Struthio camelus: one gene and its partner. The protein of the gene in region 2 purifies or fractionates together with the protein of the main gene of each other region. This does not show direct contact. Links are inferred from orthologs where the notes say so. Each region holds a gene or a part of one and is shown on either strand. Other genes may lie near its edges.

Region 1 (16,346 bases), on a different chromosome or scaffold from region 2:
ATTTTGAAGTGGTTTAGCTTTTTAGACTAAATTGGCTTCTGGAATCCAGGCAATAGTAAGTTTTCAATAAACACTACTAATCCATACATAAGCAGCAGAAGATGGAATTCACAGGATGTGATGTGCTACACAATGGAAAAGGATACAGGTATTTCACATGAAGCAAAAGGACAGTAGCTGTATTGTCTCCAGGCCCCACTAATATATAAAACTGTAATAACATTCAGGTAGAACTCTTGAGGGAGGAACATGTTTTGCAGAGTATATTTTGCTTCTTTTAAGATTTTATCCATGTTTGACCGCCCTATTAAACCCAACTACATGCCAAACTTTTCATATTAGAGAACCTGTTTGTTCCTTATGAAGATCGAGATATCTGTTGAGCCTCCAGACAGATTTAAAAAATTTATGCCACAATAAGACTGAAAACTGAATATAGAACCCACAAGCTTCAACAGAACGCTCCATTATGGGGTTAACTCATTCCCCCACATTTATCATGTTTCATGGTATTTAAAGGATCCTAAAACTGTTGCGTGCCTTGCAGGAAGTATCTAACACGAGACAAAGAGCAACAACAAACAAAAATTTGTTTACATGTTTTTAATTCACATTTAAATATGTAAGATTGACTGTACTCAGCTAGTAACTACTGAAGTCGAAGACTCTCTGAAAGTTGCTCCCGTGTTTTCATACCACAAACGCTCAGTGTACCAAGTGTTTGCAAAGACTATAATGGCCTCTTTGAAAGGAACTGAAAAATCAGTTTGCTGTCAAAGCAGTGATACTTAGAATAACAAACATTAGCAAAAATTACTATCTAGCTTCAGTTTTGAAAGAAAGGGCAGACACATAGTGACATATTGTCTCTAGTGGTTTTCATTTCTGGTTACATGTAAGCAACATAGGGTAGGCTAAAGGAGCTTGCTCACATGACAGGTGTTCTATGGGAAAACTAGAAAGTCATTTATAACGTACATGAATTAGCGTTATTGCAATACATTAAGACTGAGTAACTTTTGTTAATAACACAGTTTAGAATAACAAAAGGTAATTTCTTTCTACAACGGCTCCATACACTAACATAACTCACCAGGAGGCACAGGTGGAGGAAAACCAGGAAACTGTGGAGGTGGAATCCCAGGGGGAAGTGTTGGGATGCCCATAGGAGGGCGATTCAAATGAGGTGGAAAAGACATTCCTGGAGTTGCAACCTATCAAAAAGGCAGAAAAAGGAAACGTTGCATTAGTCATTTCCCAAACATGAATTACAAAAGCAGCGTAACTGATAAGCACCTGCAACGATTTTAAATATTTAAATGGACATTCAACTACAAACTGAAACTACTTTAGCTCCTCTTTCCCCAGCTGAGCATTGTTACAGATGTAGTAGATATCTTCATTCACAATGAAAAATAGCACTTCTGGCAAAGTGTTTCAGAATGAACAAAAAACTAGAACTATAACTGACCTCTCATACCAATGTTTCACAAAGAAAGTGAATTAAAAAGTTTGTAGTCAATGAATTTTTACGAAGATAAAGCTTTTTTCCTCCGTATCTGAGAACGGAAGTAATCTTGGAATACATTTTTCAGTAAGCCAAGCAGTTCTCTTGTACAAGAAACAATCCTTTAGATGACCCTGCTTGAGCAGGGGGTTTGGACTAGATGATCTCCACAGGTCCCTTCCAACCTTGGCCATTCTGTGATCGCTCACAAAATAGCTGTGGAACGAAATAATGAGAGAAGAAAGTGGAACATCCTGATGCTAAACATCAATGGGAATTGTATTTAATAGGAAAGACGCTGCAGCAATTCCCAAATTCCAGCCCAGAGACAGTTACAAGCTTGGAGGAGGGCTCTCTGATCTATTTTTAACTTCCCAGTTCCTGTGTCTCCTAGCTCAACTTGTGCAATAGCTAATGAGCTGAGGCCTGATATGCTAACACGGACAGTAAAGAATATTTTATAATTTGCTAATCAGATGGTTATTGTTATGTACATACTACTGCTCATATTTCTTCTCAGACTATGTGCATATTAGCTGATCTTCCTCTAGAATGTGAAGCCTGGGTAGGATACCACCTTGGTATTACTACTTTACATTTTTTCACAAAGAAAACAACCAAGTGCCTTAAAAAAGGGAAAATACAGATCTTATTCCTTTAAGCAGCTCTCAGTCCTTATCTACACTGCAGGCACTGTCCAGGACAACTGGACAAAATTCAATGGAGCTTTGGAACAGGAGGATAGGGCAATAAACTATTGGGCTTGAGTGATTCCAGTAGGCTACAGCAGTGTTACACATATGAGGTCCACAAGGCATTAAAAAGTGATCTGTAAAACAATCAACAGTTTGGAAGTAATTCTCCAGGCTGCCTGTAGGTGCAGCTGGTTCTCTTGCTGTGACAAACACTTCAACTGAGACACCATTTTGGACTGTGTGTGAGTGTAGGGAGCAAGAGGTAAAAAGCTTCTTCAATGAAAAAAATGCTGAAAAATGCCCAACTTAATGGATGTTATATATACACGCAGGCGAATTGTTTTTAGATATATCTTTTTTTAATTGAGATCAAAAGCAAAAGTTTAGCACTCAATAAAGGAATTGTTACTCCCTAAAAGGACAAAGGTAGATAGTAACAGATCAAACAGATCAAATGAAAAAGTCTTTCAATTTTCTAGTCAGAAATATGTGAAATGTACTGCTACCTGTACTGCTACCTTCAACAAGTCAACTTGAAGCACTATATTCTAATTTTTTCCACATTTGTAAGGCTATTTTCACAACAGCTAGAAAGCTGCTCTGGCACTGAAGACCATCAACACTTAAATTAAAGAAAGGCTTAGTCTCTTTCTTGCTACTATGTGTAACTACTAACATGAAACTGGCAAATATGAGAGTTTAACCCTACTTCTGCTATAAAAACAGAGCAGCAACAGGTATCCAGACTGAAATTGTTCACTAGAGAAGCAAAGGATACAAATCAGACAGTGAGAAAGATGCATGCGCTTTCCTGCAGTGGCCAAGAGGAAGGAAAATGCAAGGAAGGAAAGCGAGTAGCACAATTTTTCTGTCAGCAATTAGAGAAGATGCAAGAAAAGTACATACTCTTCCAGCAGTCAGAGCTGCCAGAGCATCTCAAATTTATAAAGCAACTATAAACTAAGGCTTCAGTATGGGAAGTTAAGAGATGCTAAGCTGGGTCCAGGGAGAATACCCTTGTAGATATCTCAGAAACCCTACTGTGAACTTCTCTGCAGACTGTCCTACCCCTCTACTAGTACAGTTCAGTGCTCAGTCTCCAATACATTTTTGTGGTCTCAGTAGTGTACGTGCTGATCTTCAGATTTCCCCAAAATATTCAAGTGTGCAAGTAAGCAACTAAACAATCCTGACATATTTTAAAAACGCATTTGACTTATCAAAGTATTATTTCAAAGTTAGATGTAAGATGCGGCTATCAAGAATGCTGCTTAAATAGCAGCACTTTAAAGGACAGATTCATTTTTGTGAATCTTTAAAGTAGTTAGAAAAATACAACTGTAAGAAAAACACTCAGCATCTAGCATAACACCATTCCAAATACTGAAATAATATGACACCTATACCACTCACAATGATGGATTTATGTCAGGATTCTGACTCAAAGCATAGTCAATTTAGGCCACGTCTACATCAGCAAGCAGGGAAGCACAACAGGAACAGGTCTTTCTAGCAAAACAGACAGAGCTGAGACCCCAATGTCCACACTACATCTTTTGGGGAGGTTTTTATTTCAGGCTTGCTCTAGTCCAGTGCACCAACTGCCCTTTAACAGTTAAGGGTGGATATTTCAGTATATTCAATTCATCCATTGTAACAGTGCAAACCAATGTGAATAAAAGCTGGCTAAGTGGGGCTGACTGGGAGACTTGCTTCAAAAGCATGCTCCCAATCTGAGCTAACACACTAATACAGGTGCACACTTCACTACCCTTGGGCAGCTTTTCTGAGCTGCAGATTAACAAATGCAGGTGGCAAAATATCTAAGATTACTCTAAGCAGAATCAGCTCAAATCCAACTTGAGTTATTAGCTAAGGCAAGTGTGACACAAAAGCGACTACAATAGTCCACGTTCAAAAGCAACTATAATAGTCCACGTTCAACTTGGGCCCAGAAGGAATTCAGTTGCTTCACACACTGCTTTTCTGAGTTAATAGCCCCTGGTGGAACCAAACTGCATGCAGAGCCAGCTGCACCAATCTTCTGAAGCTTGGGAGAGTAGAGAAATACCCATATGGCCGTAAAGTTAGGTAAGGTCCACTGAGACTTATTAATTCTGACTCAATGCTATCCCTACTGGACCTGAGCACTGAGTATTAAAAGTAAGCTAACTCTAACAGAGCCACACGAGCTCACAGGGCTAGCCTGAGGGCAGGCTGGACTGAAGCGTGTGAGACTGTATAAAATTCACTGTATAAGAAATGATGGTTACAGTCATTCACATATTGCTATCCCATGCTTCTATATTATCTCTGGCCCCCAAAAGGGGGTGACCATATGAGAAGCTTGTACTGGCCCTACTGCACTGTTAATGTAATTTTTAAAAAATTGCAATAGCCTTTTAACCTATTTTTGATTTGCTCCCCCCCCTTTTTTTTTTTTAAATGAAGTGACAAAAACAGAATGCAAGTTTATTAGTTAAATATCACTGTTAAGTAATATATTTCAAACTGGCAATTGTATCACCTACTCACAGCAGCCATGTTACTTCTACCAGCGTCAGGTGATTAGACTAACTAGTATCTATAACTGTTTCTACAAACCTCCCCCCCGCCTTTTTAGCAGACCCTTGCAAAACATATGGCAGTTAACTATTCTGAAAATGGTTACAAAATATGAAACAGGCAGTTACAATACTTACTATTGAGCTGCAGTTGCACTAAACAAGGTTAAAATTAACCATGGTAATCTTGCAAGCCTAAATGAGCTTGAGGTGTTTTAAGAATAAACACACAAGGTGTCGTAAGTGACACATTGTGGCTAATCTAGTTTGATTACAGTTTAAGTCTGATTTTAACTTATCGTCAACATTTTTCTAATTCTATCCTTCAGCATGGCAAAAATCTGTACACTTATTCTAGAATAAGCGTAAAATAGATGAACAGCTAGAGCTTTAAATAAGGGAACAGTCAGTGCAAACCATTTTTTGATTTTTTTAAATTAACTAAAAAAACAGCTTTGACTGTAATCCTAACCTCTGAATTATTACAACAGTCCATGACAAAATCTGGAATCCATGACTATTTTAGGTTTGTACACTACGCTATATAATATCACACAGGTTAAAGAAAAATACACACGCATTTGATTTGACTGCCCACGTTTCACTGTGTTCACAAGCGTCCACAGAAAAGCTCCAATGTATATAAATGTTTTAATGCTTTTTGAGAATAAGACTCATTTTTATTATGAATCTTACAAGCTTTTGGCATTTGGTTCTAATGTCTGTATCTATGCAGCATCCCAGAGTGAACAATAATTCTTTCTAAGTTACGCTGAAGCAATTTATACATTTTGCACCATAACAAAACGTCCAGCTGAGCACCAAAAACATTTTAAGAAACCACTGGAGAAAGTGTATGTGATAAATAAGCCTGTTAATGCTATTATGCGGGCTTTTACATCACTCTCTACAAGGTCTATGGATTTGTAAGCCATTTTTAAAGCCATTAAAGCCATATAAAATAACTAAACCTACAGTTTGTCAAAAGAGATACTCCTTGTATTATTGATATAAACAAATGACACTTCTCACAGAAGAAAATAGCACCCTGAGGAAAAGTCTTTTTTTTTCCTTCAGGCCAGCTGATCCTCTCAGTGAAGGCTCTCCAACACCTTCTCATACAACTCTACAGCTTTCATTAAATTCGCCTGCAAGTTACACAAGGCATCAGTGCCAAACACAAAAGCCACATACGGAGATAAAACAGATATACAGACTTGAAGCACACTTACTTCCGATCAAACAAAATTAGCATTTGCTTACACTTGTCAGAGATGGTCCAGAAGTGTTTGCTAACTGCCATCAAGTAAGTTGCCTCCCAAACTATTATTTTGAAGTGTCTAAGAACACTGCATGCTTACTGAAACAAACAGATGTGTCCTTTTGAAAATGCCTTATCTGGCGCTCTACCAAACATGACACCAGAATATTAAAAACTTCACTTTTGCTCCTAATTTTGTGCCCATGTAAAGTGCTAATGAAGTGATTCTCCACCCTAACCTTGCTGCTCATTCATTCTTCTTGAAACACAAACACAGCCGTGGCATCACGACACCTGCGAGAACGGGCACTCAAGAGAGAGAGGTAGAAGAAACGTGAAGGGCTAAGACAACCACCTCATAACAAACCAAGAAACTGGTCTGTGCTTGCTTCTATAACTCTGTTTTGGACTGCCTTCTGTAAATGCAGATGCAGTGTACTGGTACCAATTCTTTCCCGACCCACAAAATAACTAAAAATTTGGGCATACGCATTTTGATCAAAATAGAGGGAAGACTACCCAATTATAAGATTTCCTCACGTGTAAGCCTCGCTATCAAAAAGAAAATTGTGTTCAGGATATTTATTGATGTATATTTAAACCAAACCCCTTCTCCTTCAGGCAGGCAAAGGTCTTTTCTACAGTAGAACGCATCATGAGCAAAATATGCTAATGCACACAACACAACTGTTACAGACAGGGGTGAATCCCTCCGATTGTTTAAGCACAAGCTCCTAACGCATGTTTCAAGAGGCCTCCCCCGGGCCAGACGGAGGACATCACGATACCACCGAAGAACGTTTCCTCACTCGACCGGCGTCGCCGGCACCAAGAAGCCGAAGCCCCCCAGCCCTCGGTGGCGGCCAGCCCCGGGCCCTGGGGCAGTCTCGGGGGCCGACAAACGCTCGGCCACGGGCGCCCCCCCGCCCCGGCCCGCCGGCGGCGGGCTGCTCCCCGCCGCGGCCCCGGCAGCGGGCAGGGCCTGCCGCGCCGCCCGGGCCGGGGCAGGAAGCGGAAGGCCCCCCCGCCGCCCGCCCGCCAGCGCCTCCCCGAGGCCGCGCTGCCTTCCCACCCCCGCGCCGCCTCCCCGCCGCGGCCTAGGCCCAGGCCCGGCCCGGCGACGGGCACGGACGCCTCCCGCCGCCCCGAGGGTGGGGAGCGCGCGGCGGAGCGGCGCTGGCCCGGTTCGGCCCGGCCCGGCCCGGCGCGGCGCGGCGCCTCCTCTCAGCGCCGCCGCCGTCCCTCCCTCCGTCTCCCTTCCCCCTGCAGCCCTCCGCTGCTCACCCTCCTTCGCTGAGGGGTAGGAGCCGCGTCCGGAGCGCCGCCTCGGCCCCTCCTACACGCGCAGGCCGGGGATGGGGCTGGGGAACGGGGGCGCCGCCGCCTCTCGCCGCGCTGGGAGGCCTCGGGGCGCCGCTAGGCCGCGAACACACCGCGCCGAGCCAGAGCCGCCGCGCTGCGCTGGGGTCATGTGAACCACCCCTTCCGTCAGCGGCCCGACCTGCCCCGCGCCGCGCGACCATAGAGGCGCGCGAGCCAGAGCGCCCTCTCGCTCCTCACCCAGACATAACGCGCAGGACCATAGAGTGCCGTGGCTAGAAGGGTAGAAAGAGAGAAAAAAGGCGTTGGGGCCGCCGCCATGTTTGCTGGGGGCAGGTGGTGCGACTCCCCGGCCCGGCCCCGGGGCGCGCCATCTTGAGGTCGAGCGCTGCTGCCGGCGGCTTCCTGGCGCCGCTGGCTGCGGGCCCCGGGGGGCGACGGCTGCCCGCCGCGCCGGTCTTCCCCGGCCGCTGGGGCGCCGCCCGCCGCCGGCCCCGGCCGCTGGGCCGTTCCTGGGCTGCCGCTGGAGCCGCGACAGCAGCGTGCGCCGGCTGCCCCCGCGGGACATCGGCGTGCGGGAAACCTGCCTGCTCCCCTCGCTTGTAACAGGAGGCTAAGGAGGAGGGAACACGTGCTTTAGCTCCGTTATGGTTTAGCAGATTTTAAGGGCCTAGAAAGCTAATAAGCAATCCTATTATCAGTAGATGTGTATTTGCCATGTGGAAGGCTGCATCTCAGCTAGACACTCTGTAAGGATTTATGGATCACAGCAAACACCAGCGTCCAAGGCAAGCAAACCCTCAGCCAAAAGACATCTATATACTCTTTTGTGGTCCTAGCAGTGGTCTACAAATGGTAGTTTCCCTCACTTACTTCCAGCAGCTAGACTGCATTGAAAGACACTTAAAAATGTGCAAGTCTCCCCAGCATTACTTACAGGAAAGTAATTGCTCTGTTCACCACAATGATGGCAAGCAATTGCAAATGGAAAGAGGAAGTGATTGCGAATGGAATGAAGACAGTCTTGCAGACCATTACGAAGCAGAGCACAACACGAGTATGTGTCAACAAAGCTGTTCAAAACATTTTAGATCGGCTAGGGAAAAATGCTTGTTATTTCTGTACTACATTTTCCACTGTTTATGCATGCTGCATTAAAGAAAAATGGTCAAAGACCAAAGGTAATGACAAACAATCCTCTCCACAAGTACCACCACCTGTAAAGACAAGAAACACATTCAAAGCTGACACTGTTGACTACTTGAATATGAGACACAGTTCACTGGATGGACTACTGAACACTTAAAAAGCGAGTTGAAAGTAAGGTTCTGTTCATCACCTTGCTTTGCAAGATGTTTATGTGCAAGATGTTTATGTGCACATTTGAGTAGTAGTAGTTAAAGGAAATATTTCAAGACTGAAAGCAATTTCTTCCACTTTTAGAAACAACATCTTTGTTTCCCATTAATTACAACTCATTCCATACAGCCTCTGACTGCTATTAATCTTTCAAGCAATTGATAAGTATTTATACTATTTAGGTAAATATAGTTCTCATTTTGCAGTTTGCAGGAAAACCAAGGAAAGTAGAAAGGACACACTAAGAATCCTCCAAGTTTCATGTTTCTATGCTATGGTCCTAAATTGAAACTATTATCTACTTGAAAAAGAATGTGAAATCCAATCTCACTCGTATTGCTTTAACAAACCTTTTTATTTACGGGAAAAATCACAAAGGTGTTCTTGATCTAGATGTTCATCTTTTTTATTTAGCCAAAGAAACAAACCATTTTGCATTTACTCTCCTTATACAAACCATACACTTTAGCTTTCAGTATCCTTTCTAACCAAGGAAGAAACTGCATCACAAGAATCCAGTAAAAACTGTTACTTTCACATCTCTGCTCTTTCTGCTATTCAATTTTATAATTAACAGATGGATAGGTTTACGGATAGGTATATTTTTACTCTTTAATTGTGAAACTGAGATCCCACTTTCCAGCTACTGATCACAGTTCACTTTATTCAGCTACTCGCTGTAGGCTTCAGAGTTTGATGCTGAAGCCAATCAAGACTACAGTACATAGCCTTTACAAAAGGCCAAAAATGAGAACAGGCACTTAGTGTCTGCAGACTGTTTTGCATTTCAACTGTGACAAACCATTCCAAACATGCTAGGCAGCATCTCAGGGTGCAAACTTCAGATTGCTTCTATGCAGCATAACATTTTAAATGTTTTATGCCAGGAACTGAACTCTAGTCCACAGCTCCAAAGTAACTGAGCAAAAAGTACCACTACAGCGATAAAGTGCTGGTGTAGGAGCACGGTCTTTTAAAACTGTCACCAATCATCAGGATCCTGGATACATACCACTTACCTGTGCTATCCAATGAAGGTTTCTCTCGCCCTGGCACATCCTATGTTATTTCCATGGAAATCAATAAAATTCATTTTATTGATTGTACAAGAAGCAGCTGGAAGTAATTTTTGTCTTAAAATCAAACTGATGATTATTAACAGCATATAAATTTAAAAGTCAGAGAGATTTAAATGCTACATTTAAATGCTCTAAGTACACAAGTTGTGAACAAGGACATTCATAGGAAGAGGATAAAAAAAACTGAACACATCTGTTTTCTACAGCATTTTGGAACATATTGTGAAAACAATCAAGGGGGAAATGGAGGGAATACATCAGGTCTTCACAGGAGGATCCACATTTTTTCACTTCTCAGATCTACTGGAGGAAGGAATATAGGAGAGCTGCTGCTCAGAGATCTGAAGTGAGGGTGAAGGACTTTTTCAAGAGCACGCTTAGCTGCTCCATTTCACTGTCATGTATTTAAAGGATGGCCTAAAACCTGACTGTGACAGAACACAACTTGGACCCAAGCACAGAGATACATACACTTCCTATTCCAGGAGGACCAGTGCTGCGCTTTTATCTTTCTAAGAGAGAGGCAGGAAACAGTAGGGGCAGAAAGTTTAAGCATTATCCAGAAAGAAATAATTAGCTTAGTAACTAGCACTACTATGTACTTTTTATAGGATACAATATTTTAAATAAAAGTAGCTTTTCATTGTACTTTTGTCAATAATTCCACAAAATGAATAATTACGTTGTGTTGTCTTCCCCATACTTTTTTTTCCCCCTATCACATTACCTGCTTAAATACAGCCACTTAGAGGAATATCTCTTAGAAGCCAAACTCATTGATTTGCTTCCTTGGCTCCCTATGAATAATCTTGTGAGATTTAAAAGCTTCTACCTCCTGTGTAAGGAATATATGCACTATAAAGAAGTTATTCACTCTGAAAACATTTGGCTCAGGAAAGATTCATATTTATAGATTTCAGTCTATTTGATTAATCTTTTGATTAATCTTTTTGATTAATCTTTTCTGCAAAAAAATGAATTAAAATGCCTTATCATAATCGTATGAAACAGAATAGGGAAGAGAATTACTTTGCCACCCTTCAGTCATTCATCATCATTAAACTGCATAGAAATGGATGAACCATATTTATGCCTAGATACAAAAACATACGTCAATGCTTACCACATTTCAATTTCACTCAGACCGCATGTGGATCTGTACACCACGCCTAACCTAGTTAAAACATTTTCCCTCCTCGATACAGGCAAAACTTATGTTCTGCAAGCACAGAATCTAGTAGAATCAAAAGTACTTCAAGCATACACTTGAATTCAGACACGGCCTTGGTCACACACAGTTTCTGAAACTTAGCTGATGCCTCATTTCTGTGGTAATTGGGCCTGCTGACGCAGTTTTCTGAAGTGATGTTACTTCACCTTAGAGAAAGTAAACTAGGTATCGTTGCAATCTATACAGATAACCAATTATGTAAGCTGGTCCTCTCTTGAAATTATTGGTATAGAACCAAACCAAGAGGACGAATTTGCAGAGCACTTTAAAGCTGCCTTTCTATGGATACCAACGTGTAAACTTCACTGAAGTGAAACAGCACATCTCCTTCCTGCAGTGAGGTAATGATACTGTTAAGAGCCTACCGTCTGGCCAAAAGCTCCAGGTATTCTAGAAGACAAACTGTGGGTTATACTACTACAAAAATATTTTTGTATATTATATAAATCACATCCTGCTTCCTTAAACACACATGCAATTAAAAATGACTTGTCCTTTTGTAGTAGCACCCTACCGTTACCAAAGTGAGCCAAGAGCTCACTGGTTCAGATTATTTCCTCTTTTTGTGAGTTCTTGGGTCGTCTCTGCATGCTTCCCCCTCTCCCCAAGTAGTCTGCAACAGCCATCTTCCACTTCCACAGTTTCGGTTTCTGACTGAAGGACAGTTCAGTCACCTGTTCTTTGGCAGTCACCTGTTTCAGATCTGTGGCCTTTCCACTAAATAAACAGTGGCGGGTCACACATTAACTACCTCTACAAAAAAAGAAAAAAGGGGGATATAATAATGAACGGTGGCACTGCTTGGCAGGGCTTCCTTCAAGTGACTGGCTAGTATATACAAGTTTAGTGTCTCAGCATGCCCTCAGAAGGGCAATGTGACCTACTTACTTGCAAGACCTCAAGGCCTGGGAATAACAGTGGACAAAAAAATACAGGCTGCACTCCAAGAAACGTAAGAAAGAGAGAGATTCTCTATGAATTTCATCCCTCAGAGAGCAACTGGGGGCTACTCCCTCTCCTCTGGGACTCCTGCAAAGGGCAGCCAGCCTGCCCACCCCCCCACCCCCAGCCAGAGGCCTCCCGTGCTCCCAGCACCACCGAGAACCCGCGAGCCTCGGGGCAGAAGACAAAAACAAAACAAAGTAAAAAAAAAAAAATTCGGAAGACAGCAAAAAGCCCCCAAACCGCTGTGTCCCCCAGAACCACCCCCCCCCCCCCAAAGCCCTGGCGCTGCCCCTTTAGTCAGCGGGGCCGGCGCCTGAGCGTCCCCTCCCCCACCCCCAGCCGCGCGCCGCCACCAGCCGTTAGCGGCGCGCGCCGCGGCCCCAGCCCGTATAAAACGGCCGCCCGTCACACACAGCGCCCTCCGGTCCGGTCACCCGCCGCTACCGTCGCCCCAGCAACAACGCGCCCGGCCCCGCCGACCCGCCCAACGGCCGTGGGAACTACGCGTCCCAGCAGGCGCCATGGCGGGGCCCCGCGGCGGCCCTCCGTGCGGCCGCGCCGGGCCGGCGGACTACAGTTCCCGGCGTGCCCGGGCCGCTCCGCCCCCGCCCCGCCGCCGCTGCCGCCTTCCCGTCTCCGCGGAGGGGTGTGGGGGGGGAAATAACGCCGAAGTTGCCCGCGGTCAGCTGATCCCGGCTGACAACAAGGGGCGCGGGAGGAGGGCGGCGGCGGCGGCGCGGGTCCTGCCCTGCCGGGGCGCCTCGCCTGCATGGTCGGGGCGCGCCGCCACGGCCCCTGGGGGAGGAGAAGCGGGGCGCCCCCCCTCCCCGGCTGCGCAGGGGAGGAGGAGGAGGAGGAGGAAGAAGCGGCTGGGACCCGACTCCTTAGTCACCGGGTACCGGCGGGAGGAAGGGGAAGAAAGGTGGCCGCTGGGTTGTAAACAATAGCGCGGCTCGCGGCGCCCCGTTTGGGGCCGCCTTTGTTCCCCGGCGCGGCGCGTCCCAGCCCCCGCCACGGCTCCCCGCCCGCTGCCGCTGCTTAGCGGGAGAAACCCGGCGCTTCCCCCCTTTCTGCTCAGCTGCTGCTCGGGATAACGAGGAGCCGCGCTCGGCTTAGCCCGAGGTAGGTGCACGGCGCGCAAGCGAGCCCCCAGCTCCTAGCGGCGTTATGTAACTAACGCAGAATTGCTGAAAAAAGTACCTGCCCGTCATGTTTGTTTGGTTCGTGGTATCAGAAATGACCGAGCCACAAGTGTAAGCGGTGCCTGGGGGCAGCTAGCGCACCCGGCTAGCTGCCCAGCACCAGCAGCTTGAAATAAGCAATTGCTCCCTGCAAGGTGGAAAAATGGCTTATTCTGGAAGGAGACCTCCCCTTCCCCCCCCCCCCCCCCCGCCAAGAGTCAGCCGAAATGAAAGTAGCTCTGTGGGCTTGTGTGTTTGAAAGGAGGGAGGTGAGTGGGCTGTGGGTTGATGTGGGGAAGGTAGGGCGCAGGGCCCCTGCACAACTGCAAAGGAGCATGTCGAGACAAAGACTGCTTGGTGTGCAGCATACTTGGAGCAGTCACTTGTTTCGGAGGCCTATTTTGGCAAGTTGTATCTGACAGAAAAATCCATCTTATGTCAGTGTGGCTGTGGTAATGAATGCTGTTCAGCAATACTAGGAGGAGCATACAAAGATATCTAATTTTGTTTATCTGGCAAAGTACATCAGGAAAGTCCCTGCAAATAAATACTGTGAACTCTGAAGGAGGAGCTTAGCTGTAGATTGAAAGCAGAGAATTTTCTAGTATTGACACAATCCCGTGTGTGTACCTCCATATGCACTTGTGCATTTCTGATGTCTTTTTTTCCTCTGTATTACCAATTAATCTCCTACCACTCTCTGCTTTAGAGAAACATTTGCACCAATCTGCTGAAGTACACCACACTGATTTTTATTTTTTTCCCCCCACATCACTGAAAATACATTATCTAGCTAAGCAGAGAAAGAATGTTTTCCAGCATTTGGGTACATCAATAGATGAAAACAGCCACATTGTTTATTTTGGAGTAAGGAAACTTTGTCTGCACTTAACATTAGACTCTTTCTGGAAGGCCAGTCAGTGTATGAATCTTACAGAAACATGTATTAATTCTTCAGAATTGGGTGGTGACAGAATTCCTTCTGTATTTCTTTTCCCCTGTGAAAATACTAAATTTTCAGCTGACTTATACACATATCGTTGTTCAAAAACCCAAACAGGGAGGAAAAACGTTAAAGAAATCTGAAGATGAGCGCCCACACACAAACTGCAGAGAAAGGACAGAACACAACACTCCTGTGCCAGGAAAGCTACGTTTGCAGTGGGACAGATGAAGCAATCTTTGAGTGTGACGAATGCGGGAGCCTACAGTGTCAGCGGTGTGAAGAAGAGCTGCATCAGCAGGAAAGGTTACGGAACCATGAACGGACCCGTATAAGACCTGGCCATGTTCCTTACTGTGACTCCTGCAAAGGTGCCAATGGGAACATAATGCACACCAGTATGACAGGATCTAGGCAGAGAGCAGCAGTGAGGTGCCAGGTGTGCAAAATCAACCTCTGTGTGGAGTGTCAGAAGAGAACACATGCTGGGGGGAACAAAAGGAAGCATCCCATCACTGTGTACCATGCTGGCAAAGCCCAAGAGCAGGAGGAGGAGGAAATGGATGAGGAGACCAGGAGAAGGAAAATGACAGAGAAAGTTGTCAGTTTCCTCTTAGTGGATGAAACTGAGGAGATTCAGGTAAGAACTACTGTGGTTTATTTGAATGGGCAAGATATCCCTAGCTTCTGTGTTAATCACACCTCATAATAGTCTGTTAGACTAAACTAATAGTGTAACAGACAGCAACAGTAACAAATTGAGGATAGTCTGTTCCTGGCACTGAATGAATATCTTGGGCCAAAAAGACCCTGGTGCCTAGGAATGGCCTTGCTCATGAGATCATCAAAAGGTCAAAACCTTATGTGTGGCAAGAGCCTCCTCTAAGAAGCTTGGTAAGTGGAGCTGGTGAAAGAATTGACTGTACTGAGATGCATGCAATGAAGATAAGCGCTCTCTGTACAGGATGCTGATCATTCCTGAACAAAACTGAACTGAGAGGATTCCAGTAGATATCCTGCAAATGGGAGTGCTGGCAGCCAATCTCTTACCATATGACTAGGAGTGGGCACTGTACCAAGCAGTACTACAGCCCCCTGTTACTCTCCTTTAGCACCAGTAAATCTGTCTGATTTTTAGGAGTGGGATAAAGTAGAAATAGCTGTCCTATAAGGAGTCTTGATGTGTGCCATCCAAGTCCTACAGACCCCACGATTAAGCTATATTGCTAGTCACAGGTATTATTCCAAGTTAGCTTTTTCCTGAATGAGGGGCAGACCGGCCATCAGTTTGGGGTAGGCCTGCCAATAATAATGATAAAAGTACTCATTGGCTACAAACAGCTGCTTAGGAGAAATTATTTTACAGAGGCTAGTGTGCAATACTTGCAGTTACTTAACTCTTCTGTTGGCCTTTATGCTTGGTAAGCATAAGCACTTTACAAAAGGCAAAGAATCCCTGTTTTTATAGATGAGAAGAACAGAAATATAAAAATGCCATGTGTGGAAGTCACAGAGCAGGTTACAGAATCGTTTAGGTTGGAAGGAACCTCTGGAGATCATCTAGTCCAACCTCCCTGCTCAAGCAGGGTCCTCTAGAGCATATTTCCCAGGATCACATCCAGACGGGTTTTGAATACCTCCAGCGAAGGAGACTCCACTGCCTCTCTGGGCAACCTCTTCCAATGCTCTGTCACCCTCACAGTGAAGAAGTTTTTCCTCAGGTTTAGGTGGAACTTTCTGTGGTTCAGGTTAGTAGCACAACTAAAAATTTAACCTCATCTTCTGACTTCCAGTTTGCATCCTACATGTTAAACCTCATCCAGCAGACATTGAAAGAAAATGTGTGGTCACTTGGAGACTCAGTGTCTGGTTGCTGTAATTTAATGTTCATGCTACTAGCGGTAAAAGAATTGCGATGATATCCTCGTTGTTGGTAGGCTAGTCATTTGCATCCATCGTATTAACAGCTAATGTGTCTGTCTTGCCAATACTGTAGAAAAGATGCAAGATACTTGTCACGTTTTGGTCAGTTCAAGTACGCTGACTTAAAGTCGCGTGGCTTTTGGAGGAGGAAGGGAGGAAAGGATGATAGTCCTTAGGATGTGCTGACATAGGAAACACACAATCCACCTACAGGACAACAGTGACTGTAAATTGAGTGAGTGACTGAGTTTCAGGTTTAGTAGCAGTCCTAAATTTGTCTGCGTCCCTCAAGTGTACACATTTCCTCATAATACATGGAAGGTGCAACTCTTACTCTT
Region 2 (15,974 bases):
ATTTGCCTCAGGAATTACTGAACTTCATTTAAATTACACTAAGGCTGTAACATACATTCATGTCCCATTAGACAACAGAGGACAGCAGAGGGAAACATACTTAACAGGCAGATTCTCTAGTGTCTGCCCAAACATTAAACTAAAGACTCTTCCCCACTTTTAAGGTAATTAATATCGTCTGGTATGAAATCTCCATCATCTAGTGCATGTCAAAGTGACATTACATCCTTTTCCTCAACAGTATCTTCTCTACCTATCTTGTAGAAGCTTAGCACGCTTGTGATCTTTCTCTCACAACCGTGGCTGAAATTGGCTAACGGTCTTAAGAGACCACAGGGGTGGGTGGACTGATTAATACAGTATGTCCAGTCACACACAACTTATTTAGTAGAATAATTTAAAAAACTGTTTCAGCAAACTCTTTATCATTTTACAAGAACTGAAAAGCTTGATAAAACTTCAATTAACAAGACCTTTTTCACAACTCAATTCAAGAAAACAGAGACATACCCATACTGAAATAATGAAAGCAACTGAAATGAAGGAATTTTAAAACACAGAAAAGTTAAACTCACCGGAACCGTAGGCTGCATAGCAGCTTGGGACATGTGAGACATCATCATTCCAGGCATTACTGACTGCATCATTCCAGGCATCTATAATTAAACAGTATTTCAAATATACTTATACTTTATGATACTTTTAACATCTAATATTTTGGTTTCAAAATAATCACACAGTGCTAGTTTCTAACCCAAATAAACCTTCTAAGCGCTTGGCAACACACAGTTAAAGTTGTAGAATTCTGCTTCCTTTCATTACACTCCTACAGAGTGGACATTAGGAATAATAAGGCTATAGTATATTCCAAGGTCTGATATGAAATATTAGTAAAGACAACCACTTAATTACAAAAGAACAATGACAAACGACGAGCGATCTGTTTATACGCTCTTATTGAAATTGAAATCTTATGTTAAAACAGGAAAATTAAAGGCTGTGGGAAAGACTTCTGCAGAATTCCAAGGTCACACAGAAGCTATTAAACAAAGAAAAGGTAAACTCTGAGTCTATGATTAGTTTTGTTTGCAACTTTTGGCAACTCTCAGCCTGTCTCCCCTTCCTCTCACCTCTGCAAATAGGAAGCAACATTTTACAGGGATACTAGAAGAGTGAGTTTCTGCAAACATTTTCATGATGAAGACAGCTATCGTACTTAAATATCAAAGCTCTAAATCGCTTCTGAACAGTTTTTTACAATGTATCAAAAAAAACATTAATGCAGATATGCAGTATTAAACCATGCGACTTCTCTTAAAACAACATGAATTTGGTAACAGGGACATACCAGAGCATACAAAATGAAAAGTCTGAGTCTAGACTTATAGCAGAGTTTGTTGTGTGGTCTGATGAGACAAAAACCCCACAAAACTGCTACTTCGACTAGCTAGCTTTTGCTCAAATATTTATGCTTCTACTCTTAAAGGGATGGTTACTGCAACACATTATACACAGGAGTTACCCACTGGAAAGAAAAACTGATGCACTGAAAAGCTGTTTAAAACGTTACTGAAAAGGTTGTAATATTTTGTGCATCTCCCATAATTTTTGCTGATCCTGGCTTTTAAGAACTGGTGAGCCATAAAAAAAAAAAAGGGGGCAAAAATCAACAAAACATAGTTTAGGTCACTACCAATATGATTTCTTGCCCACTCAGCCCAAGTAGGTCTTGAGAAGTCAACCCCCTTCAACCTTTCAGTTATCCCCCTTTACCTTTTACTGTCCTTGGCAGGCTGGCCAAGTGACCCCATCCCCCTGTATCTTCAGGGAGCATCAGGTTACCACTCTCCTCATCTGGCATCTTGTGCGGAGAGAGGGATATTTGGTAGGGCTACCGCTCCACCCTCAATCCACAAGGTTTTCTTGGGAGGGTGAGGAAGAAAGGAAAGACTGGAAGGCGGCCCCTCCTACTCCTTGCCATCCTGTAGAAGCAGGAGAAGAAAGCACTCTTGCCCCACTGCTACTTGCAACTAAAGGGGGCTCTGAGTGTGAAACTTTTTAAAAGTCCTGACCCAGGTCCTGAAGAAACTCCATGTACTTCTCCGGGTTGCCAAGGAACACTGACCCAAAGTCCACAAAGAAAAAAACATGGGAAGAGACACAATTCTCTTTCGTGAGACCTTCCTCTGAACGATGCTGACAGTAGGCCGTTACTCTTGCTTAAGGTCCTGTGTAAAGGAGTTTCTTGTCTATAGAGGTTCACCTCAGCAAGGAGGTAAACAAGCTACAGGAATAGCCCATCTCTGCTAAGTGTCACAAATAAATCTCTGGTATCTGCTGCAAGAAAAAGCTTAGCATCCAAGCAAACAAGGCAACACCGGCCGATGCTCTTGCACTGGAACTACTACTGCGCTGAAAGTATCAGCCTCTTGTCCTCTCCTTATGGCCACAGGGACACTGAGCCTCTAATCTCCTCTTGCCATGCCACGTATCTAGCTTTTCATTCTGTATCTACCAAAAATGTTTAAGTTCTCTATTTATATTGTTCCCTAAAATATTAAGACTGAAATATTCATTACATGAGAATAAGATCAATAGAATTAAAAACTAGAAAAAAAATTGTTAAGCAGAGGAATAAAATAGAATTGCTGGACATATTTAATACACATACACAAAAGCTCACATGATTAGCTGTCATGATAATGGTTGACTCCTCCTTATCTTTTTAAATTGCATTATTCTTAGAGCAGAAGATCTAACAGACTGCAAAACCACGCTGGAGGCTCCTATCAAGTCTGAATACACTAGCTTTAAAACTTAAATTACACATGCTCTATCCAAGGTACTGCAAAGGAAGAAAATGAGTTGCCAGCTACGCACTTGTGGGCGCTTCTCAAAGGTTCAGTCTTTCGTGCTATCCTCTGACTAGTCTGCTCTAATCTATCCCTCTGGTGCGGTCACTGTCACTCCACCTCTACTTCGGCAAACCACTACCTTACTAGTATCAGTGGAGGATTTTTTCTATCCAGGAAGAGAATTGCTTCTTTCAGAAATTCAAAATTTAATGAGAAACTACATGGAAAAGGACCTTTCCTTGTTTAAAATTAAAACTTCAAATTTGCAAAAGCATGGATATGAGCCTGGCTACTCCTCCTGTCAATTCACTTTCAAATGTGCTCTGAATAGCTAAGTTTGTTTTTCAAACTGTGCATTACACTAGCACCACTAGTATATTATACAGAACTATAAATGCTCCCTAGGATGCAAGAAGCAATTCTGCAAAAATTCAGATCTTGTTTCTTCCCTGCGTCTCCCTACAATTGTCTTCCATGCTTGGATGTAAGAGTTAGCCAAGAACTAAAGAGAGAAAAAGTTCTCTACCATTACCACTTCCGAAAAGAATCGCTACTTTCTGTTTCTAGTACTTTTTAATAGGACAACCTTACTTCTTCAAAACCTATGGGAAACTGTCTAAAAGGTTTATTAAAAATAAACTATGGATTCACATATATGACAATTTAAAATTAAAGTTCCAAAACTAGGAAGCACTTTCATTATCCACTAAAATGAGAAGAGTTTCTGCATGGATAGGCATGGCTGCATAAAACAACCTGAATTGTTCACGTTATCATTTGCAAGCTACTATATGAGACTTACCTACCTCAGGAATTATCTGGCCTCATTACAGGAAGAAAGAAAGAAAGAAAGAAAAAAATCCAGTAAAACTGCCTTACCTGCCCCATTGGTGGTCCTCCCATCGGAGGCATCATCTGAGGCATCATACCATGCGGAACTGGTGGCATATTAGGTGGTCTTTGACCCATGGGGTGCATTCCCATGGGCGGATAATGTGGCATGCCTGGGTGGCCCATCTGAAAGACATCAACAAACAAAAAAATTAGCACAAAGCCAACAACTCCCTGCCCCCCAAAACACAAAACATTAAGAATAAAGACACACTTGACGCGCCACTGGAAATGAGGTAGTCAATTTTAGCTTAACACTGCAAGACAGCGAGCAAGACAATTATATTAAAATGCTTACAAATCAATTCTGATGTTAAGCATACTGTAGAAGAATACTCTTCTGGGATCTGTAGAGCTGGAGATCATCAGAATTAACAAATATATTTAAAAATTCAAAAACAATAGCCAAATAAAAAAAGAAAATATCCATCTTTCATGTTATAATTTGTCATAGAATCACATACTAAATTTGTGTGTGCAACTATTTCTGCATGCTCTTCTATACAACTATGATTAACACAAGTACCCCTGGAGCAGAGAAGTCAATCAGATGACCAGCCTATCTTTTGCTTCTCTCATGTCTAAGGCTGAAGTAGCTTCTACGCTGACTACAAACTCTGTCTCTGTATTTTCCTAAAAATCTGAATCCTGTGGTTGTCCTTATACTTGGTATAGTCACAGTAAGAGGATTAAAAAAGCTAGCATACGTCAAAAGTCTGTTCTGTAAACACACAAAAACATAGAAGACATCTTATTTCATATTCGGAGACTTGTTAGTTACCAGAACGTAGTAAAAGCCTTCTATTCCAGTCAGAAGCATCAGCTTTAAGAGTGCCTTAGGATAAAGGCTCAAAGGCACTTTATTTTGAAAGACAAATAATTCAGCTCTGCATCTTACTTGTGTCTTTCATATCTATTAGCTCAATGTGAAAGTTACTTTTAAACAAAATGTACTTTTTTGAGAAGGATACTGAGCAGGAAAAAAAAGCAAGTAATACCTTTTTTCATGCTTTAAAAACAATCTTCCATTGAAATTTTTGGGGGGTACCCAAAGGCATGCCTATTAATAGCCTGTGAGGTTGGGGCAGACCGCCCAGAGAAGTTATGGACTCTCCTTCCCTGGAAACATTCAGAAACTGTCTGGATGCGATCCTGTGCAACGTGCTCTCAGTGACCGTGCTTGAGCAGGGGGGTTGGACTAGATGATCTGCAGAGGTTCCTGCCAACCTCAACCCTTCTGCGATTACTGAAAAGCCACAAACTGAACAGGTTTGAAACTTAAAGAGTTTACCTATATATACACACGCGTATACACGCCTTGAACGTCATGGGGGACATAATCCTAACTGATTTACTAAGTCTCAGATGCTCTCCAAAGAACCAGAAGTACAACGCTTCCTCAAATCCTTCTCGCGCCCTCTGAAGACCGCTATACATACAGGCGTTTTTAAACCTTCCCGAGGGACCTGCCAACCAAATGCCATTTAACGCGCCCCAGCTCTCCTCTGCTGACCAGCGCAGCACAGGGCTCTCGGGGGGGGGGGGGGGGGCGGCCCCGGCCCACTCCCGCTTCCTTCGCGGTTTCAGGCTGCGTCGCAGGTGCTGTGCCCAGCCCCGGGCGCTGCCAGCGCGCCCCGCTCGCACAACCAAGGGCCCCCGGCCCGGCCCCGGCCGCCCCCCCCCGGAAGCGCCGCCGCCCGCACTCACCATGAGGGAGCCCCGGTCGACGCCGCCGGGCCGCATCGAGGGGCTGAGCAGGCTACCCCCGCTGCACCTGCCAAGAAGCCGCCCTCTGAGTGGCTGCCGCGACGAGGGGCCAAAGGGCATGAGCGGCTCGGGCTCCCCGCGGGGCGGGAGCAGCGGCGCCAGCAGGCTGACTGGCTTCCCCGCTGGCCAATCCGGGCGGCCCGCCAGCCGGGTGCTCTTCGGCGATTGGTCCGCGGTGGCGGCGACGGGGCGGACGGCGTCCCCCGGCGTCAGCTGCATGAGGGGAGGGGGCTTCGGCAAGGAGAACGGGAGCGGCTGAGGGGAGGCCGCCGCCGCCGCCGCCGCCGAGTCCCCACCTGACATCCCGGCCGCGACGAGCCTCTTCTCTGCCTCTCCCGGCGTCGGCGCCCGGAGCCGTTAGCGACCGCCGGCCGCAGGCGGCGAGGACCGAGCGGATGGAGAGAGGCCCCGCGCCGGGGTGGGGGAGGAAGAGCCGAAGAGAGAACGGCGGCGCGGCGAGGCCTCGCCTAGGCGGGCGGGCGGCGGCGAGCAGAAGAGCCTCCGGGCGGGAGCGGGAGCAGGCCGCGGCGGCGGCGGGCCAGGCCGGGCCGGGCGGGGGGGCGCGCGAGCCGCCGAGCCACGGAGCTCGCGCGGGGGGACGGCGGAGGGGACGCTGGGAAAGGGTCACGTGGGCGAGGGGGCGGGGCGGCCGGCGCCACATCCGCCGGAGGAGGGGGAGGAGGAGGAGGAGGGGGGGATGCGCGCTTGCCGCTCTCCTCGCCGCCTGCTTGGAGAAGCCGGAAAGTGTCGGCTGCTCCACCCCGCGCGTTGCGGCGGGTGGTACGTGCCGGCCGGCAGGCCCAACTTCGCTGCGTCCCCCCCTGCGCTGCGGTGGTACGTCCCGCGCGCGCGGTGTGCGCTGTGAGTGCTGCGGGAGGGCGGGGCCGCTTGTCTCCCCCCGCGTCTCGTGCGCGGTGGTAGCCGCCGCCTGAGGGGGATCGGCCCGCGCTTCGCGCCCTCGCCCGCCCGCGGCGCCGACATGGCCGCGGCGCTGCCCGGGGCCGGTGCCACCGCCGCCCCGCGGGCCGAGCCGGGCCCAGCCCGGGAAGCGGCCTCCGCTGCTCTCTGCCGTTCAACTAACGCTGCGTGCTTGCGTTTCCCTCAGGTTTGCGGTCGGGGCAGGCGGAGAGCGGAGCTGGGTGGCAGCTGGGCCCTGCCTGGGTACGGCTGCTGCCGCCTGCGTGCCCCTCCTCCTTGCCCGAAGGGGCCTTCCGCCTCGCCCCGCTGACCTCGGGGTGGCAGCGGGCGGTACCGCTGCCGTCGGAAATAGCGCCCGAGGCGGTGAAAGGGCTGAAAACGCTTCAGGTCTTCCACCTTCCTCCAGAGCTGTGGAGGCTTTGTCCCCCTTCGGAGCCCTGTTCGGCTGCCTCGCGTGCGGCCCGAGAGGCCCCAAAGGCCGAGGTGTAATAACGCCAAATCCTTCCACGTGCTCTGTGCCGCGCTTAATCCACGTTTTAGGAATAGCAACTTTTCAAAAATATCTTCATAAAAAAAGCTTATTTTTTGGTTTAGATACTATAAACGGGGTTTGGTAGGACTTCGTTCCAACCAACAGACTGTGGTAGGCATCGATTTCACTTTTCCCACCCCTTGTCATCCGTCTTGTACCCTTGCTCCTATTTCAGACCGGCTTGTGCTTACTAATTAAGTCCTGCGGCATAAGTTATCCTCTTCTGTCTGCCTCTTCAATAACCTGTGGCCAGATTCAGTGCCAGAAGAGATGAGGAAAAAGAAAGCCAGGGGAGGAGAGCTGGAATTGATTCAGGGTTAAAACTCACTATAAATATAACCGAAGTTAAGTGTAAATTGTAACCATTGGCTTTAATAATATTTTAAATCCATATGAACCTCTGTTTTTTTTGCATGCAATAGTAATAGATTTTTCTAAGAGTATATATTTCTACTGAAGGCTTTTTGATGTGGAGGAAGGAGTTAACTGCATCTAGATAGAAATTGTGGTAGTATGTCTAAACACTGTCTTTTAATCTATTTTATATATTTAAAGGCAGTACCAACTTAATGTTCAGGTTCCCAGTGTCTGTAATGTGTAAATGTGGGTGAACACAACTTTCCTTTGTCTTGCTTTTTTGGAGTTTCTTGAAATAAATCGCAAGTATGGCCCTTGAGGTGTAATACGGTGTTTTGTTTTATTTTTTTGACTCCACAAATGAGTGTGGTAGCTTTTCAGTGGGGGAGCATCTGCCACAGGTGTCCTAATCCTGACGCAGAATAAGTCTGTTTAACAGCAGTCTTAACTTCCGTGTGATGATCAGCAGGATTTGTGGAAGATGTGATCTTACAAAGTTAATATCCACGTGACCTAACAGCAGGATCGTCCTATTATAGTGAGATAACTGTGATGGAACTTGGAATTTGGTGAGAAAAGCCAAGATTTGCTAAGATTGACATTAACTTTTACTATGACCGAGGAGAAATTAAAAAGCAAGAATAATAATGCGGAAAGATTGAGTTTTTCTTTTGTAACATAACACTTTTGCTTTAATACTTTTTTTAATGTGTTGAAGTTTTGTACGGCTGTCACCCTGTGATGAAACAGGGCAGCTTGTGGTCGAGGAGTTAAAATTTGATTTTTAGCATACTGAACAGCCTAGATGTATTTTTAAGATTAGAATCTTTGCCTAATGGCTTGCCATGTCATACTGTTATGATTTAAGACTTGATTCTCTGGCTTGAGTATATAATCAAATATGTAATTCTATGTTTTAGTCAATTCTACTTCAGTTAACTACTTGGTAAATTTGAAGTGATTGTTTTCGAAAACTGCTTATATCTTGCAAATTCTCCAGTTTATACTTTCCTAGCCAGGATTCTGCATAAACAGGGTGCTGGTGAGGTATATGTGAAGCCCTGTGGTGCGTGGCTCATATCCAATTGCAAGCGCACACTGCTCAGCAAAAGACATTATGTGATATTCATCCCATGAAGGAATCATCACTATCTGAAATCCTGGATCTTGGGGATGAAATTACCAATACTGTTCACCTACGTTTTCAGTATAATTCAGTGATGAATAAAAGGCTCCCCCCTTTATCAGGAAAGCATTGAAAATCTGGCTTAATTATTCATAACTAGTATTCTCTTTAAAAATGTAGTCAGAGCATTAAGGTATGCCGGTGGGGACAGCCACACGGGAAGGCACGCTGCTTCTGCTGTGGGGCTGATTGGACTGTTATCCGGCTGAAGCAGCTGTTGCCATTGTTGCTATCAAAAGACAGGAAACCGTCTTGGCTTTTGACAGAGGAAGCTCTGGTATATTAATGTCCTATTGACTTCAATCAAGAAAAGAGAACCAGTAACATCTAGTTTTGTTAATACTTGTGTTTCAAGAATAAGTTCCTGGGTGAATCCTCTGTTATCTAGGGCAGGTTGAACTCATGCTGCACTCTCAGTGAAGGTAGTGAGTGAGGGTTCTGGAGCACTTTCATGAAAATTACAGGAATTCATTATAAAAAGCCACCACTTTATCGTGCTCAAAACTTACGTTGATAAATTTAGATATGCATACAATATGCTAGAGACAATGGAAGTGATTGAGTGTTTTGCTAAAAATGAACCTGTCCATTATCTCTTTGAAAAATCTTGCAACGATTCAACAGTTTGTTTGGACAGAACCAGCTACGATACTGCTGTTTGCAGTGTTCTCGTTATGAAACTCTGAAGTGTATGTGGACAGTTCTCTTTATCTGCTATTGCACTGATGTATTCACCAGACAGCTTGATTAGTAAGCTACTGGTAAGTGTTCTCAGGAGACTCCAGCCCTGTTGATTTGAGTTGTCCATGTAGGCTGCTAGAACAGCTGAAGGCTCTTAAAATGGTATTACCAAGTTTTTTTTTTTGTTGTTGTTTTGTTCAAGTAGTGGAAGGGGCTAATGCTGACCTTTGCTGTTGTGGTAGTAACTGCGTTGTGTAAAAAAAAAAGTAGGTAAGCTGGGGAGGAGAGAAGAAAAAAAGGGAACATATATGTTTATGTCTGATAGTTTTGAATGCTAAAATGAATCTAATCATATTTGTCAATTCACCAGCATGACATTCTGGTGGAGAAAAAATTGTCCTGCTAATAATTAGCTTACTGATATATGAAGTATTATAGTAAGATATTATTTATTTCTGGTTTAAGATGTTCCTGTCCAAAGTTCTCCTGCCATATTCTCTGCTGGAGGTTTCTTCAGTTTTGTTCAGTCCAGGTGGCTGGCTGTGCTGTAACTGGAGGGAAGGATAGAGGGGAATGCTACTGGGTTTTTTTCTGGTAGGTTGTTTCTTGGGCTTACCAGGCAGAGTGAGCAACTAGGATTGCTACTTTGTTCTGGGAAAACGGACCATTTATGTTGCATTGTGGAGCTGTGCTGTATGACGGTGCCTTTGAATTAGTATTAAAATACGTATGTCAAATTCTCTTTGCTTCTTCCAAAAGATTTTGTAGTGTGCTTGTTGTAGCCTCGTTGGCAGAATTCTTGTGCTGTGTTTTTTCTTGGACCAGGATGTATTTTGATTTCTTTGAACCAGGAGTGTTTCTGCCCACTCCGCTGCTACCTGGTTCAAGTAAGTATTTATTCAGAATTCAGCGATTGATTTGGTGCTGTATCTCTTCGGTCCATAAGAGATAACTGTTGCATTATGAAAAGTGCTTTCTGTTGATCTATTTGTGACCTTAAGTGATCTGAAAGAGTAAAAAACTGGTTACAGAACTTGTATATAAATGTAATTAATTAAATAATAAATTAATTTAAAAAGTTTCTGTAACATAAACTCAAGGAGGATAATGAGAATCTAGTTAGAGTTGGAAAAACTCATTCTCTTTTCTTGACACTGTGTATTGTGTTAAGCAAAGAGAGAAGGACTTCTTTTCTCACTGAAATACTTTTCAGTTAGATAATGTACCGTTTAAAGAAAAAGTTAAAATTCACAGTTATAAGTCAAAAGCTTCTAGAAATGCCTTTTGTAGAAACAAAAGAAATAAAAAAACAACCCACACAGTAACTACCCCCTTAGGTAGTTTGTCAGAATGATACCATGTTATGATTCTTTGATTTCCATCTGTAGTATTTAAATATTTTAAATGCGGAGTGTATTTTCTGTAATTCCAAAAATTATAACATATTTTTCCTTCATTTGAATTTCGCTGCATATCATATGTTACAGTTTTTTGCTGCGTGTAGATAATAGATATTCAGAAAATGTGGATTTTATTTTTCAGTCTGTATCGTATTATCTGATTTCCCCCCCCCCCCCATTATTATCAAATACAGTTAATGTTCTACTTTGTGGAGGCTGTATTGGTAATGTTGGTACAGCACTGAAGGTAATAAGAGGCAGGGTATAGTAGCACCTAGCTCAAACCAACCTGTCATGGCTTCTTTCAAGTTCAGGGACAGCCTAAGTCCAGGTCTTCAGCAGAAGAAATAAAGGTATTCTGATGAGGAATTTATACAGTATATGATTTGATGTATTTTCTAATGTTGTCTGTTGAATCAGGTGCCATTCTTCAGTACTAGAGAAGAAAGCCAATTTTATCACATCTGTAGATGTTGCTTCTCAAATACTTAAGATTTGCTACAAACCGCATAAAGTAGAGCAAACTGCTGTAGTTGTATTAAAATAGGACAGCTACTGCTTTTGCTCTTTCCAGCCCCATACCATTCCTCTGACCAGTTCAACTTCAGGGCAGAGATGTTGATCCATTCGTGAATTACCTCCCCAATCACTAGTTTACAAACTTTATATGTAAATTGTAAACTGAAATGTAAATTTCTTCCTATCCAAACAGGATCTACTCGACTCTCACAAGAATAGAAAGAGTCTCATTCCAAGTTTGAAAGAAGATACTTTGTGTATTCATAACTGTCTAATACCAGGCTTTCCTATCTTATTTTGTTTAGGCTTTGTAATTTATGATGGATTTGGATGCCAGTACGATCAATTGTAGCAGCAGCAGTTTCTGACTTCTTGGGCACAACTTCCCAAAGACATCAAAAAGATGTCCTTCCCCTGTTGTGCCTGCACTTTGTCCTCGTACTGCATGTTTTTGCCTCCTCAAACTATGACCCTGTCCCTGTATCTACTGCACACATTCATCCACTGACATTTTCCTCTTCCCTGCCTCTCAGATATAGACTTGAACGTTAGTGGTATGAAAACCACAGTTTACCACAGGAAGTCCTAACCTAGAGGCATTTCAAAATACAAGTTGTACCAAACATGCAGTGATATGATTGACTTTGCATTTCTGTTTGGGAAGTTTGAATCTGCCTGAATGCTTTTGATTTTGCACGTAACAAGTGTAGCTTCCAAAGAGTATTTTAAGTTACTCAGTTTGCTTTCTACAGTGTCTGATTTTTTTTTTTTTTGTTGGACATGTTATTGTAAGCAACAATGAAATGAGTGATTCCAGTCTGGACTTAAAATGTTCAGTGTTTATGATTAGAGTGGACTGGATGCATTCCAAAACTCAGTGAGTCTTAAGCACATGTGAAAATAAAATTTAAAAACTGTTTTCAATATTCTGGTTTGAGACAGGACTGATTACCTTTGGGTAGTGCTGTTTCAAAGAAATCAGATAGTCTTTTGTAGTCTGACCAGCAGGGTGAGTGCTTGTACGCAAAATACATTTCCAAGACTGAGAAGCTAAAAGAATATGTCTGTGAAGCTTCCACTGTGTTTATCTTGGGATTCGGTAACTAAACTAGGAGCAGTTAGTTAACGAAAATAAAGTATTTCTTTTTTTTTTTTTTTAATTTTAGAATGCCATTTAGATTTCGGTACTGTTTAATATGCCCTGGCAAAATATTTGTAAATATTGTCATACTAAGCAAAGAGCAAGCTGATCTAAAAGAGAGCGTTGCTGTAGCAACTGTGTCCTTAGTTTCAGGATAGATGAAAACTATTGGTTTCTAATACCTTGAGAAATACCTTGAGAAATCTCTCTGAACACTGCAAGAAATGAGGGAAATCATATATTATATGAAGCTAGTTACATTACATTTTTGTTTTGCTGGTGCGTCTGAATGATTACTTCAAGACTGATGTGCTTTAGGTTACACTGTAGTTTTTTCCGTTAGGACTTACTAACTTATTTAAGAATTGAGTGGCTTTTGTTTATTTGTAAAGTAGAGTTAACAGTCTTTGACACTGTGAAAATCTTTTTCTTGCAAGTAGTCCCATGGATATCAGATACATTCCAATCAGGTATATTCAGCACATAACCTTAGTCCTGTTTGTCAAGAAACGTAGGGGAGCTATTTCTCCCTGTTCCAAAATTATTCTCTGCAGCTGACTTCTTCCTCTGAACGTTGCCTATGTTTCACTCTTTATTCTATGAAAAATGTCTTGAAATGTTCCAGTAGTGTATTTTTACACTGAGTGGGACTCAGCAAAGTGGTAAATGTGAGACTGGGTGGGTGAATGTGGGACTTCTTCACATTTTGTTTTTCAGAGCAATCCTTGTGAAAATTTGATCCAAGTAACTAATTGCTGATTTTTATAAAGCTAATAAGGCGTGTAATGCTGAATAAATGCGCATCCTACTTTTTAATTTCCATATGCTTGTTTTAGTTCATAAAAATCATGCAGTCACACATAGGACAGTAATGCCTGTTGCTTGATCCTGTTGCTGTATATTTAATTACTTTTTTATTTTAAGATTGGAGTCTGTGCTATTGGTTTAAAACTATATCTTGAAGTCAAGAGAGGATTAAAGTTTAAAAACCCTCAAGAGAGAAATGCTAAAAAGCACAGAGAATAATGGCATCTGCTTGAGAGCATTCACCCCTTCAGCAACAGTTATGAACCTTTGAAGTCTTTAGATACAAGAAATAAAAGTAGGAAGAAAAAGCAGTATGTGTGAGAAAAATCAGAATAAAATAATAGTCCAGGTTGTTTGAAATCTTTATTTTCTATACGTCAAAGCTTTGAAGGTTATCCGAAATGTGTATTGAAAGATGTTAATGAAGCTGAAGATAAAAACACAAGAATAAAACTACAAAGGGCAGTAGAGCTTCATTTAATTCCCAAATTGTGTTAGTAGTAGGAAGAGAAACCTTATCATGTGTGAATGTTTTCCCTATTTCTGAAAATTCTTTCACTTTTGAGAACCTATCAACATGAATTTTTTTCAGTTGAGAGAAAAACCGTAACAGCTCTTTAAGTTAATGTCAACTGTGATAGAAAAGTCAGAACAAAATATCTAGAAGATTGTATTTGGAAATTCAGCTCAATCAGTATATAAGTATGGCCTGCCCTTCAGGAAGACAAATTAATTCTTTGATAAATGCTACTTCTAATGCTAATTCTTCCTAAATGCTACTTTTTGCAAATCTGCAAAGTCTTATGTATCTTATTTCACTTCTTGAGTTCATTTCTGAGGGAAACTTTTTAATGCATCAATAAATGGATCCACTCATTTTTGATCCAGGAAGTTGTTTCTTCAGTTAATTGTTTTCTGTAAATTTAAGCTTGAAAATCAGGGTAAATTGAGCTTCACCATGGAGAATGTTGTTCATCAAGCTTCTAATGAAAATGTATTTCCTTGTTTCTGATGGTAATGTTTTTAACTTCTGTGGTTAAATGGAGAATGAGTGTAATGGTGTAAGAGAATCAATGACATGAATAGTTAAAGTTTGGTCTATTAGAAGCTCACGGAAAGTAGGCTTTAGCATCTATAGTACTGTTGCATAAAAATGAGCTTAACCTTGTATTTAGTTTTAATTAATTCCTGGAATGGCGTTTTACCATGACAGTAAAGGTGAGAGTCATTGGTTGTTGCAGAGACTTTTAGGGAAGTTGAGATGAATCCATTAAAGATGTGAAATCAGTGCATGAATTTTTTCATATACATCATATCCCTTAGCAGTAGGGTCAGCTTGATTACTTCAGCTAAATCTTTTGGTGTTACTTTGTAAATGAGTCTTGTTGTGATCTCAGAATAAGGAAAGGTCCAGGCTTACCTTTGGGAACAAAAATCACTGAGACCACTATGAAAATGTTCATCTTAATATTTTAATGCAAATAGCACTACAGATGATTAACTGTTTAAAAGAAGCCATACTGTTTTAATGGTGGACATTTTTCAATCTATTATTTAATACTAAAAATAATATAGAAGGAACTAAGGAGTCAAAATCAATATACCAGTCTGATACTAAAGATGATAAATAATCTGATAATCGATGCAGGTATAGGCACATAGGGAAAATAGGCTCCTTTTTAATGGTGTTCCTTACTTGAAAAGGTCACTAAAAAGAGCATTGTCTTAACTTTGCTAGAAACGCTGTCTCTAAAGTGTGACGTTCTCCATAGTTGCTCAGAAAAGCTTTTTAATTACAGCAGCACAGGCCCACAGAATGAAATAATGGGTAAACTGAAAATGTGTTTTTTCAGTAATCAGTTTGAAACAAGTAAACACTTTCCAATTGGTCATTCTGCCAAGTTTCTACTCAACTTCAATGTTCTGGCTTCCAAAATGACTAATTTTTTTTCAGTTTTTCATTTGGCTTTGACTTAACTGTTTAATAGCTATGAAGACGTTTATATAAAGGGTAAATGTCAGAATGTATTGCTGTGGGGTATTTTTGCTTATTTTTCCATCGTAATCAAGTGTATAGACTAGGCTGGCAATCCACATGGTATAATACGGAAAATGAAATCAGTTTGACAGCACCAAATGTTATCTGTACACCTGCTTGCTTTTGGCACTATTCAGCAGCATTATTGTTCTTTCTAATGCATGATGGAAAAGTCTGCCAGAGGAAAATTTTTGAATGATGCCAACCATTAAAAATTTATTCAAATTTGCACTTTTATTTATTCTCCTTTTCAGTCTGAAAATACTTTTTAATTTCTTTCTGAATCATCAGAAGAATTAAATTGCTTGTTCCATTCACCTGAAGGTAAGCACTGAAGTACCCTTCAGTGTTGCTGCTATATTGAAAATGCAACTGCTCATTCATTTAAGTCCTGCTAGCGCTTGTACACTCTGCTTCCCATGGGGTTTGTTCGCAGCCTAGGCAGCGCAGAGAGCGCCACAGCCAGTCTTACAATGGGCCCCTTTTGTGTGCTGTTCTCTTTCATGGGGAGCAGAAACCCAAGGGGTTGTTATCTCCTGTTCCTTGTAGATAGCATACGTCCAGCGAGAGCGAGCAAAAAGGCGTGGAGGAATCCAATTTGTGTTGCCTCCACTTTGGCTTGTCTTCCACAGCTGAGCAATCCACAATCTGGATTTGAAGAAGTAAAGGTCTAAAGTCTTTAATGGTGAGTGTTGAGGAGAGTAATTTACTGGTGACTGGCTAAGTGCAATCCCCTGCAGTAACTCCATAGGTGGACAAACCTCACAACTCAGAGGCTATTGTCGTTATTAAGAAATAGAATTAAGAAGTTTCTCAAGCTTGTGGAATTAGGCACGGACATGGGAAGAGGACTTAAAGAATTTTTCAGTTTTTGTTTGTAAG

Evidence for each region.
Region 1: the proteins of PRPF40A (region 2) and RBM25 purify together in Homo sapiens (affinity purification with mass spectrometry; 5 studies listed by BioGRID and IntAct, with this or other methods). This does not show direct contact. The link is inferred for Struthio camelus from reciprocal best matches to the Homo sapiens genes PRPF40A and RBM25.

Annotation. Positions count from the first base shown.
Region 1 is NC_090946.1:43,480,544-43,496,889, forward strand, and holds the start of RBM25 (RNA-binding protein 25), read right to left. Parts: upstream 7,543-16,346; 5' UTR 7,312-7,542; intron 1,215-7,311; 5' UTR 1,200-1,214; coding exon 1,094-1,199; intron 1-1,093. Other genes in the region: ZFYVE1 (zinc finger FYVE domain-containing protein 1), read left to right, coding at 14,231-14,725. UniProt on the Homo sapiens protein: RNA-binding protein that acts as a regulator of alternative pre-mRNA splicing. Involved in apoptotic cell death through the regulation of the apoptotic factor BCL2L1 isoform expression.
Region 2 is NC_090947.1:44,931,383-44,947,356, forward strand, and holds the start of PRPF40A (pre-mRNA-processing factor 40 homolog A), read right to left. Parts: upstream 6,117-15,974; 5' UTR 5,817-6,116; coding exon 5,454-5,816; intron 3,873-5,453; coding exon 3,735-3,872; intron 657-3,734; coding exon 576-656; intron 1-575.